Arabidopsis thaliana: one gene and its partner. The protein of the gene in region 1 interacts with the protein of each later gene in a pairwise test. Each region holds a gene or a part of one and is shown on either strand. Other genes may lie near its edges.

Region 1 (5,555 bases):
TGACCGGGACACTGGAAGTGTCAAATTGAAGATATTCCTCGTCGCTGATGTCAATCTCTGGTTGCTCATCATCTGCTACTTCAGCTGAAACATTGACTTTTGGGATGGCCGTGTTGGTTAAAGCAGCCTGCAGGAGTATAGTCAACAAGTGCATTAAAGCATGTGATCAGCCTTGAGGAAAGATGACTTTTGGGTTGCTTAAACTATCAATTGGAAACATATCGTAAAGCTACTAAAACCAATAACAAGACAACTACATTGAGCTAATCTATATACACTTAACTAAAGACCCATTCCCTTTCGTTTCCTATATTCTCTGGCCTTTCCTTTCTCATGATTCTGATTGATGGGTATGATTTACTCACTAACATTCGTAACTAAAACCTGAGACTAAGGGTTAAGAGAGAAAACCAAACACACATCACAAGAATTACCTTAATGGCAGCACCCAGGGCATCCAATAGATTCCCATCCGAACTAATGACAAGACCATCAATATAAAGGTCCCAGCAAACTTTTCCTTCTTTGATTAAAAGCGAAGATAAATTTATTCCAGCTCCTGGTACCAAAACATGAATTGCTATAAACGTTACAAACAGAAAGCGTAACAGTGTGCAGGTAAAAAAAAGCATTGCATAAACATGATTGCAGACCTGCTCCACTTTTGCCACCCAGAAGACATCTTTGAAGAGCCAAAGCAAGCTCAGAAGACAATTCCTCACCTCCTCTCCCCTAAGTAACAACATATCACAAAGAATTAGCCGCCTAAAGACTTAACACAGTAGAATTTAGGAGATTCTGAAGAAAAGTAATGATAACCAAAATCTCATGTTGAACAATTCCACTAGTAAGAGAAACACCAATAGAACGATAGAACGGGTGTGACAAGTGCTAGATAGAACCAAAACCAAACGAAATAAAAGAAAAGCTCACCCCAAATGTCGGTTCAGCTGTTGGACTGCAATCAATGAAAACTGCAACCTTTCCTTTATCGGGTTGAAGTGAACTTGGCCTCCCAATTTCAGCCTGCAATTACACAAGATTACTGGGTAACATCTACAATAGCACTTCCCATTCAACAATAGAACAGTAGCAGAGAGAACAAAGGAAGTACCTTTACACTAGCAATCACATCGGTTCCACCAATTCTAACTCTCGCTGAACCATTAGCCTAGAGCCAACAAAAACAAGAGAAAGAACATATCTGTTAAACAACTGGGAAGCAACAATGAGAAGCGGACGAGCTCTAGGAGATTACACTACCTGCGGAATAACACCGGTTTCGACGTAGATAGGACGGTAAGTCAATCTTTTCCGACCATCAGTTCGAAGATCTTGAGCAATCCCACCTTTAATGAAATGTTGTTCCCCAAGAGAAAGCCCCATCACTAATACTACACAGAGAACGAATTAGATCAACTGCTGAGGAATTTCTACCGGAATGACAAACTTCAAGGTTCACGGATTGGTGCTAGGGTTTAAGAGACAGCTCAAACAAAGTACACATCTTTATACAGCACAATCAAAACCCACTAATCTTCTTTACCTTCCCGGAGAATTCAATAGAAGACACAACTCTGAAGTTTTCCGGTGACCCTAGCGGCAACTTTGGATTGGTTAGGTTAAGAGAGAGACGTGACCACTGACAACTGCCGTAGGGTTTAAAGATGGCGTGAACATAATTATTGACACTTGTTAAGGGTAATTTAGTCATTTACCGACTTACCATTTTTTCACTGCTTTTTAGCGTTTTCTCGCTCTTCTGGTTTTTTCTTCAATCTGCCGGGAAGAAGTGCGAGCTTGGTGCCGATGGGTCGTTCGAAACTAGCTTCTCGTCCTGCTGAGGAAGACCTGAATCCAGGGTTCGTTTAAAGTTTCGTTCTTTGTCCATCTTAGCTCGAAGTCTTCTAGGGTTTTCTCTGTTCAATTACTTACTTGTCTTTGCGAAAACATTTCAATATCTGGTAATCCACTTAGCTGTGTTTGATTATCTGAATCGGAGTTCTTTTGGTACTTGTGGGTGGCTCTTGATTTCATACTGCTGTCGTCTCTTGTCTTTATCCTAATTTTGATGATTTTGGCTGTTTCAGAAAATCAAAAAGGAAAAAGATATCATTGGGTCCTGAGAATGCTGCGGCATCAATTTCCACCGGTAGGTTTCCGTTTACTTGTGCAATTAGGTGTGATACTGATAGGACTAAAGTTTCTGCTGTGGATAGATATGCATTGATGTATCATGTACCAAGCTGCGTTTTCCAAAAGTTCTTACATGTACCAATACATTGTAGGAATTGAAGCTGGGAATGAGAGGAAACCTGGCCTTTACTGTTGTAACTATTGCGATAAAGATCTGTCTGGTTTGGTTCGTTTCAAATGTGCTGTTTGTATGGACTTTGATCTTTGTGTGGAATGCTTTTCTGTCGGCGTTGAACTTAATCGTCACAAGAACAGTCACCCATATCGTGTTATGGTTAGTTTCCAACGCCGAGCAGTATATTTGAATTCAATTCAACGCTTTGTCAGCTGAAAAGTAATTAGATTAGTGATTGTGTTTAAAACAAAGAAAATGTTCTATGGTTGTATTTTTGTTTGTATTGAATCTACCCTTTTGTTTGACAGGACAATTTGTCTTTTTCGCTTGTTACTTCTGATTGGAATGCCGATGAAGAGATACTCCTTCTTGAGGTAATCATTAATCGTTTCTGATTGTACACTCCCATGTCTATATAGAGATTCCATCTGACTATTGGGAAGTAAATTGACTGTGTTAGGCCATTGCGACATACGGGTTTGGCAATTGGAAAGAAGTTGCAGACCATGTTGGTAGTAAGACAACGACAGAATGTATTAAACACTTCAATTCTGCTTACATGCAGTCACCATGCTTTCCACTTCCGGTAAGGACTGATGAAAACACATGATCGTCAGATAGTTGAACCTAGCTTGTTTATTTACTCTAGCTCCCCGCTCTGTAGGACTTGTCCCATACTATTGGAAAGAGCAAAGATGAGCTGCTTGCTATGAGTAAAGATAGTGCAGTCAAAACAGGTCAGCTTTAAAATCTATTAGCGGGGTTTCTTGTTGATTTGGGACTCGTATATTAACCTTGACTGAAAAAAGGAGGATGCTGAGCTCTGTTTACTATTTGTCACAGAAATACCTGCATTTGTGAGGCTATCTCCAAAAGAAGAGTTACCTGTGTCAGCTGAAATCAAGTATATACTTATGCTTGTAACAATAGTTTACCTACGTTTACAATGTTGAATGCACCTTTTTAAAAGTACTATTATGTTTCCATGGGCAGACACGAAGCTTCAGGGAAGGTCAATGAAATAGATCCACCTTTGTCTGCCTTAGCTGGAGGTATGTGAAAATGCTTTTATCTATATAAAATTGTAGACATTATTTGCACTTAGATTTATGGCTAAGGACGCAAATCATCCGCATTTCGTACTACGACCCCAAATATTATCTCTTCCATGATTCCATATGTAAAGTAATACTTTTTATTGTACAGTCAAGAAGAAAGGCAATGTACCGCAGGCTAAGGACATCATCAAGTTGGAAGGTTTGTTATATACTGGAACAAGTTTTTATGCAAAGTGATATTTACGCGAACAAAAACTAAAGGTAGTTAACGGCCCTTGTGTCTTAGCTGCAAAACAACAATCTGACAGGAGTGTCGGGGAGAAGAAACTCAGACTTCCTGGAGAGAAAGTTCCATTAGTAACAGAGTTATATGGTTACAATCTAAAGAGGGAAGAATTTGAGATCGAACATGACAACGATGCTGAGCAACTGCTTGCTGACATGGAATTTAAGGATTCTGACACAGATGCTGAGCGTGAGCAGAAACTGCAGGTTCTTCGTATTTACTCGAAAAGGTACACTTATCACAGGAACAACCATTTTTAAACCGGAGAATTTTTTCATAAGCCAATGCTACAAGCCAAGATTGTGCCTTTGTTGGCAGGCTTGATGAGAGGAAGCGGAGGAAGGAATTTGTTCTGGAAAGAAACTTGTTGTACCCTGATCAATATGAGATGAGCCTTTCAGCAGAGGAGAGAAAAATATATAAAAGCTGTAAAGTGTTTGCGCGGTTCCAATCCAAAGAAGAGCACAAGGAACTGATTAAGAAAGTCATTGAAGAGCACCAAATTCTCAGAAGAATCGAGGATCTTCAGGTTTGATGCTTAAAATTTTACCAAGCTTGAGTACTGGATTACAAACTCAATTAGGTGGGAACATTAAGTTGAGCTTTTAATAAATGTTGCAGGAAGCTAGAACTGCTGGTTGCAGGACAACTTCAGACGCAAATAGATTTATAGAAGAGAAGAGAAAGAAGGAAGCTGAAGAAAGTATGCTGCTGCGGCTTAACCACGGTGCACCAGGCAGTATAGCCGGTAAAACACTAAAAAGTCCAAGAGGGTTACCCAGAAATTTGCATCCCTTTGGTTCTGACTCACTGCCAAAGGTCACACCTCCAAGAATATACAGCGGTTTGGACACTTGGGATGTTGATGGTCTCCTTGGAGCTGACTTACTCTCAGAGACCGTAAGAACAATAATTTTCAAACTTGATGTTTGTCATCTTATTTGTGATTTTGTTGATTTGTTGACATTATTCCTATGGTTTGAGAGATTGAAGCTGTTTTTTGTGCAGGAAAAGAAGATGTGCAATGAGACCAGAATACTGCCTGTACACTATTTGAAGATGTTGGATATCTTAACAAGAGAAATAAAGAAGGGGCAGATAAAGAAAAAGTCTGATGCTTATAGCTTCTTCAAAGTAGAGCCGAGTAAAGTAGACAGAGTATATGATATGCTGGTTCATAAGGGAATAGGTGACTCAACATGACTCATAGCTTCATGGTCCTAACATGTACTTCTCGAACATATATTAGCCATGTAAATATAAAGGAAGGTGATGCTGATTTTGGTTACACATCTTGTTCTCTGTTAGTTTCGACAACTTGACAATGTCTGATTGTTATGACCTTCAAAGGCTGTTTCAGATTTTTTGATACAACGTTTAAACTGAATATTGTAATGCCTTCACTCATCTGATTCCTTCAATTTTTGTTATATGAGATCAGAAAGTCTTGAGACATTGCATCAGTTTTCAGGAAAAACCTAAATAAAACCAGATTCTTTGGTTACAAGAAACTACACTGGATCAGATTGCCATCCAACAACAAAGAAAAAAAAAAAAACAGACAGAAATCCAAAAACTTAATCTACATGAAGCCAAAAGCTTTACCATTTCTAAGGTTGCCAACTTTGAGTCTTCTCCCAAGGCTTGAAAACACCATCATGAGAAACATATTTCAAGTAAAAGAAAAAGCCACGCAGCAACTTCAAAGCTCTTGCCTTATCAACACCAACCACAAGCTTGTATTCTTTTTCGAAATCAGGGAAACTTTCTAGATAAGATTGTCCCAGTTCGTCAGTCTCATAATCAGATCCTCTTCCCTTTCGTAGTTCTCTGCATCGAGTCATTTTTTTATGGATTGATACGTAACGATGGAGCTGCTTCATCTCTCCTTCATCATATG
Region 2 (4,168 bases), 6.5 Mb from region 1:
GAGACATCAGGTGGTCCAATTTAGATTTATCGTTGTTTTATACTCTCTCTCTCTCTAGCCCAATGAGTGTTCGAAACGTTGTTGGCCGACCAAAGTCCCGTGGCTAACTGTCACGTCTCAAAATTTAACAATGTCATGTTATCAATTTTAGATGAAAGTGAAAGTGGAGCGTCGTGTTGATGATACGTTTGAATCTTGAATGGATGTCTCGTTGACTTGTTATCAGTCGACCGACTTGTGTCGCCTTAACCACGTGGGTTATATATAGGCAATGTTTCTTCTACTTTATGATCAGCTTTAAGCATGTGGGTTATATAAGCTAGTAAGTCTATATACCATGTCAACTGATTCGTTAATGTGTTTGAGAACAAGTGTTTCAAGAGAAAGAGTCAAATACTCGATATGGTTTAGTTTAAAGATGGCCATTAACGATAAATTTGAAATGGTATATAGACTTAATTACTAGCTTAAAGTGGAAAAAGTAAAGCCTATATTTTGTTGTTATTACAAAGATATAAGGCTACAATAATACTTTATTCAAAAATCAAAACACTGAAGTAGTGAAGAAGATCAAAATTGTTGTTATTACAAGTGTGAATATATTACACAAGTCACCTGAAAGTACTTTTAAAAGGAAAACAAAGTCAACATATGAACTTTTAACAAATATAATCAGAAATTATATACTGTCAAAACTTTCTACAAACGATGACTACTGACTCAACTATGGATCTGTCCTTATTTTCTTTCTTTCTTTTGGTTATACATAAAATAATTAAGAACAAACACACAAAAAATAAATAATAATAATAATATAACAATAATAAAGTCTAAAGATCATATATCATGTGAAGCTAAACGCTAAAAGCCACCTCGAAACAGAGAAAATGGATAAGGCGGTGTTGTTGGTGGATTTGACTCTACCACTCCTCCAAACGTCGCCGTTTCTTTATACCTTCTTTCTCCCTGAATACTCCCACATCCTCCTCCTCCTCCTCCGTTAACACTCTCCGGCAAAGAAAACGTCGACGTCAAAGATGATGACGTCGACGACGTTGAATTCGAGAGCATCGACTTCGCCACCAAACCCGTCTCGTAACTACCAAACTGTCCTTGCGTCATAGGAACAATCCACCCATCCGGTGAATGATTCCGGTAAAGATTCTCCGTTGATGACGGCGACGGTGTTGATGATGACATAACCCTAAAGACCCTCCCTTCATCTTCTTCCACTTCTTCTTCCTCTGACTTCACCGTCGACATCGTGACACGACGCTTCTTCTTGTCGGAAACTTGTTGTTGTTGCTTTGTCCGTTCTTTCTCGAGCATCATTCTTGGAAGAAGATCAGGATCTTCAACGACTTTGTAAAGAAACGCCATCATCTGCTCCGGTCTCTTCTCCGTCGCTTCGATCCTCCGGTTCATCCTCTGAATCTCTGCCTCTAGCTCCCTCTGCTCTTCTTTTAACCGTTCGATCTCCCTCACAATCTCACCGTCCTCCAAATCTTGACCGTACATCCCCCGCGCGTGTTTCCTACGCGCTATGTTATTCAACAAATGCTTCTGTCCCCTTAGAAAATGCTCGTTCGCAAACTCCCACCGGTCCGGATCCACTTTCCTAAACCCCTAAAGTAAATAAAGAAAGGATCATTAGTTCGTAATCCCCTGTTTCCAGTTTCATGTATGAGTTTCGGTTATGAATTAACTTACATAGGTGTTGAGTTGACGAACAAAACTGCTGAAATTGTTGTGTTTGAAATAAGCAGGTAAGATTCGTTGCGAGAAGTCGAGTGGATCAACGACTATGAAACTGTTGTGAGCAGGTCCCCAAGTGATGAGCCAATCGGTGGAAGGATCATTGACCATCTGATATGTTTTCACGATGAAAGGTGCGATCACGTTGTTGTTGTTGTTGTTGTTACTATTGTCGTCCTCCATCTCTCTCTTTCTCTGTTTTCCTTATGGTTTATATGTTTGTTGTTGGTGGTGGTAAAGAAATTAAAGAGGAGCCTGGAGGGTTTATATAAAGATAGGAAAATGAGATGTGAAAATAGTAAGTTAAGTGTAGTTGACAGTGAGACTATATTGACGTGGCTTGCTTTTTGTGATAACGTGGCGGGTTCGTGTTTTGCCTTTTACGGTGTCACGAGTGAACTGTGGGACCTATGCAGGTGTGCCTCTAAGCTTTCAGGTCTTTTTTGCCCTTTTTGTTTTGTTTATATTTTCTTATGTCACAAGTTATGTGATACATTTGAAATATATGCATATTTAGGCATTGTTTTTTCTTAATTATAATTTTAAGTCATAGATGATTTAAGCTGCTTGACTAATTCTAAGGGTAAGCTAGTCCCAATATAGAAAGCTTAGTCCATCGATTTTTCAACTGGTTTCCGATCCCGAATTAGAAGGATATCTATGATTCATTTGTAATTTCTGCACAAACAAAATTATTTGTCATGATTTCTTTCTAATTCTTGACATGATTTGTTTCTTTCACTTTTTCACAAAAGAACCTCGTCCTCTTCAAAATACTCCAAAACTCTCAAGAGTGAGAGCAACTTATAAAAAAAAAACACATTTGGTGAAACAAACAAATCTTCTACAATGAATAGAGAGGGTATAATTTAATTTATTATATTATAATTTTTCTTTAGTTTACAATTATGTTAAAAAACGTTAGAAGGAACATGCTGTGTATTCAGATTTTAACTTAAAATATCCGACTAATTTAAAATAAAAAATTGCAAACAATAACACTAAATGCCAAGTAAACATGATTTTATAGACAAACTCTTCAATCTGCAAAAGCACTCCTATTTTCTTATACATACATATCCATGGACTCTGGAATAAATAGCCACACAAGTGTTGCTACTTGCAAGAGTTATTATAGGAGTATTATTAAACAATGATTAACATAAACTACTACAAATATAATTGCTAGGTTAAGAATTAAAACCAATAAGTTCCAATAAAAAATCACACGCATCAAAGGCATTACTATTTTATAGTTTAAACCACCACCGAGAAATCCAATAGCAATCTTATATAAAATTTTCCTAATTATTAATTGGATAGATTAATGGGATTAATCTAGACTTAATTAAGGGGACGTGGGTCAAATGCTAACCACATATTACGTATGATATAATAATATAAATAGTTTGAATAAAACAACATTTATAGAATCAAAGCATGGTCCTTAATCCTTGAGAGCCTTGGAGATAATGACCTCCTCGTATAGGCGAGAGTACAGTTCTCCACTTTTCATTTTTTTAATTGTTGTCTCCTCTCTTTGTTTTTCTTAAACTATAATTTACCTTTTCAATCGAATCTTAATTACAACTTTATTTGAACAATATATATATTACTCTCATCGCCAAATGGGATTAGCTATAATCCACAAGCTATAGCTTTTGTTTGTTTAATTACGTACTATCAGTAGTACAATTTCAAAACCTAAGGACAATTTTGATTTTTATGGGATACTTGAAATTATTAGTCAAGATTGATAGGTTTAATTACTTACTACGACAAAATTTTCCAAACTAATATATGTTTTTATTAAAATTAGCGCTTTGTCAACCTACAATTAAATTTATCTATTTCGATTATTATCAGTTACATAAATTGAGAGGACGATAAAAAAGTATTTTGAGACATCTCTTCCCCACCTTATAATTTTTGTTGTCCATAGCGAAATAAAGGAGAACAAGAGATAGTGTAACAGTGAGACGGTGACGTGGTATGCTTTGTAATAACGTGGCAAATTCGTGTTTGCTTTTTACATGCAGGTGCCACAAAGCCTTAGGTCAATTAGCTTTTCTTAGATGGCAAGTTATTAGTCCGAGCCGTTGTGTATTTGTGTGAGATGTTTTCAAGAGACGACGAGCGTGTGGGTGCTTGGATACTGACATGGTCCGCACTGGTTAGTGACGGAGGAACTCAGGAACAAGTACTGATTCGACACGTTGCGTAGAATCTTTTTTGTTGGCGATGCACACTCCACTAATCGAGTATTTTTGTATTTATGGAAAGTTTATTCATTATACGTTGCTTAATTCAGGTATACGACGAACATGATTTTTCATTTTTATTATAGTGTCACACAAATATTATAGGAAACTGATGTCGTACGGATAAAATAGTTTAGTAGACGATTATACGT

Evidence for each region. The genes of interacting proteins can lie anywhere in the genome.
Region 2: the proteins of ADA2A (region 1) and HSFC1 interact in binary tests that used the Arabidopsis thaliana proteins (3 or more experiments, as listed by UniProt).

The regions. Positions count from the first base shown.
Region 1 is NC_003074.8:2,469,317-2,474,871, reverse strand, and holds ADA2A (ADA2 2A), read left to right. Parts: upstream 1-1,776; 5' UTR 1,777-1,809; coding exon 1,810-1,862; exon of another isoform or gene 1,863-1,964; intron 1,965-2,090; coding exon 2,091-2,152; intron 2,153-2,235; exon of another isoform or gene 2,236-2,236; coding exon of another isoform or gene 2,237-2,288; coding exon 2,289-2,491; intron 2,492-2,619; coding exon 2,620-2,685; intron 2,686-2,771; coding exon 2,772-2,897; intron 2,898-2,975; coding exon 2,976-3,048; intron 3,049-3,154; coding exon 3,155-3,215; intron 3,216-3,304; coding exon 3,305-3,363; intron 3,364-3,517; coding exon 3,518-3,568; intron 3,569-3,655; coding exon 3,656-3,884; intron 3,885-3,973; coding exon 3,974-4,184; intron 4,185-4,276; coding exon 4,277-4,555; intron 4,556-4,663; coding exon 4,664-4,858; 3' UTR 4,859-5,041; downstream 5,042-5,555. Other genes in the region: AT3G07750 (3'-5'-exoribonuclease family protein), read right to left, coding at 1-127, 435-559, 654-732, 934-1,026, 1,115-1,171, 1,264-1,386; AT3G07730 (uncharacterized protein), read right to left, coding at 5,266-5,555. UniProt on the Arabidopsis thaliana protein: Required for the function of some acidic activation domains, which activate transcription from a distant site. The exact mechanism of action is not yet known.
Region 2 is NC_003074.8:8,939,225-8,943,392, reverse strand, and holds HSFC1 (heat shock transcription factor C1), read right to left. Parts: upstream 2,328-4,168; 5' UTR 1,939-2,327; coding exon 1,711-1,938; intron 1,682-1,710; exon of another isoform or gene 1,627-1,681; coding exon 862-1,626; 3' UTR 519-861; downstream 1-518. UniProt on the Arabidopsis thaliana protein: Transcriptional regulator that specifically binds DNA sequence 5'-AGAAnnTTCT-3' known as heat shock promoter elements (HSE).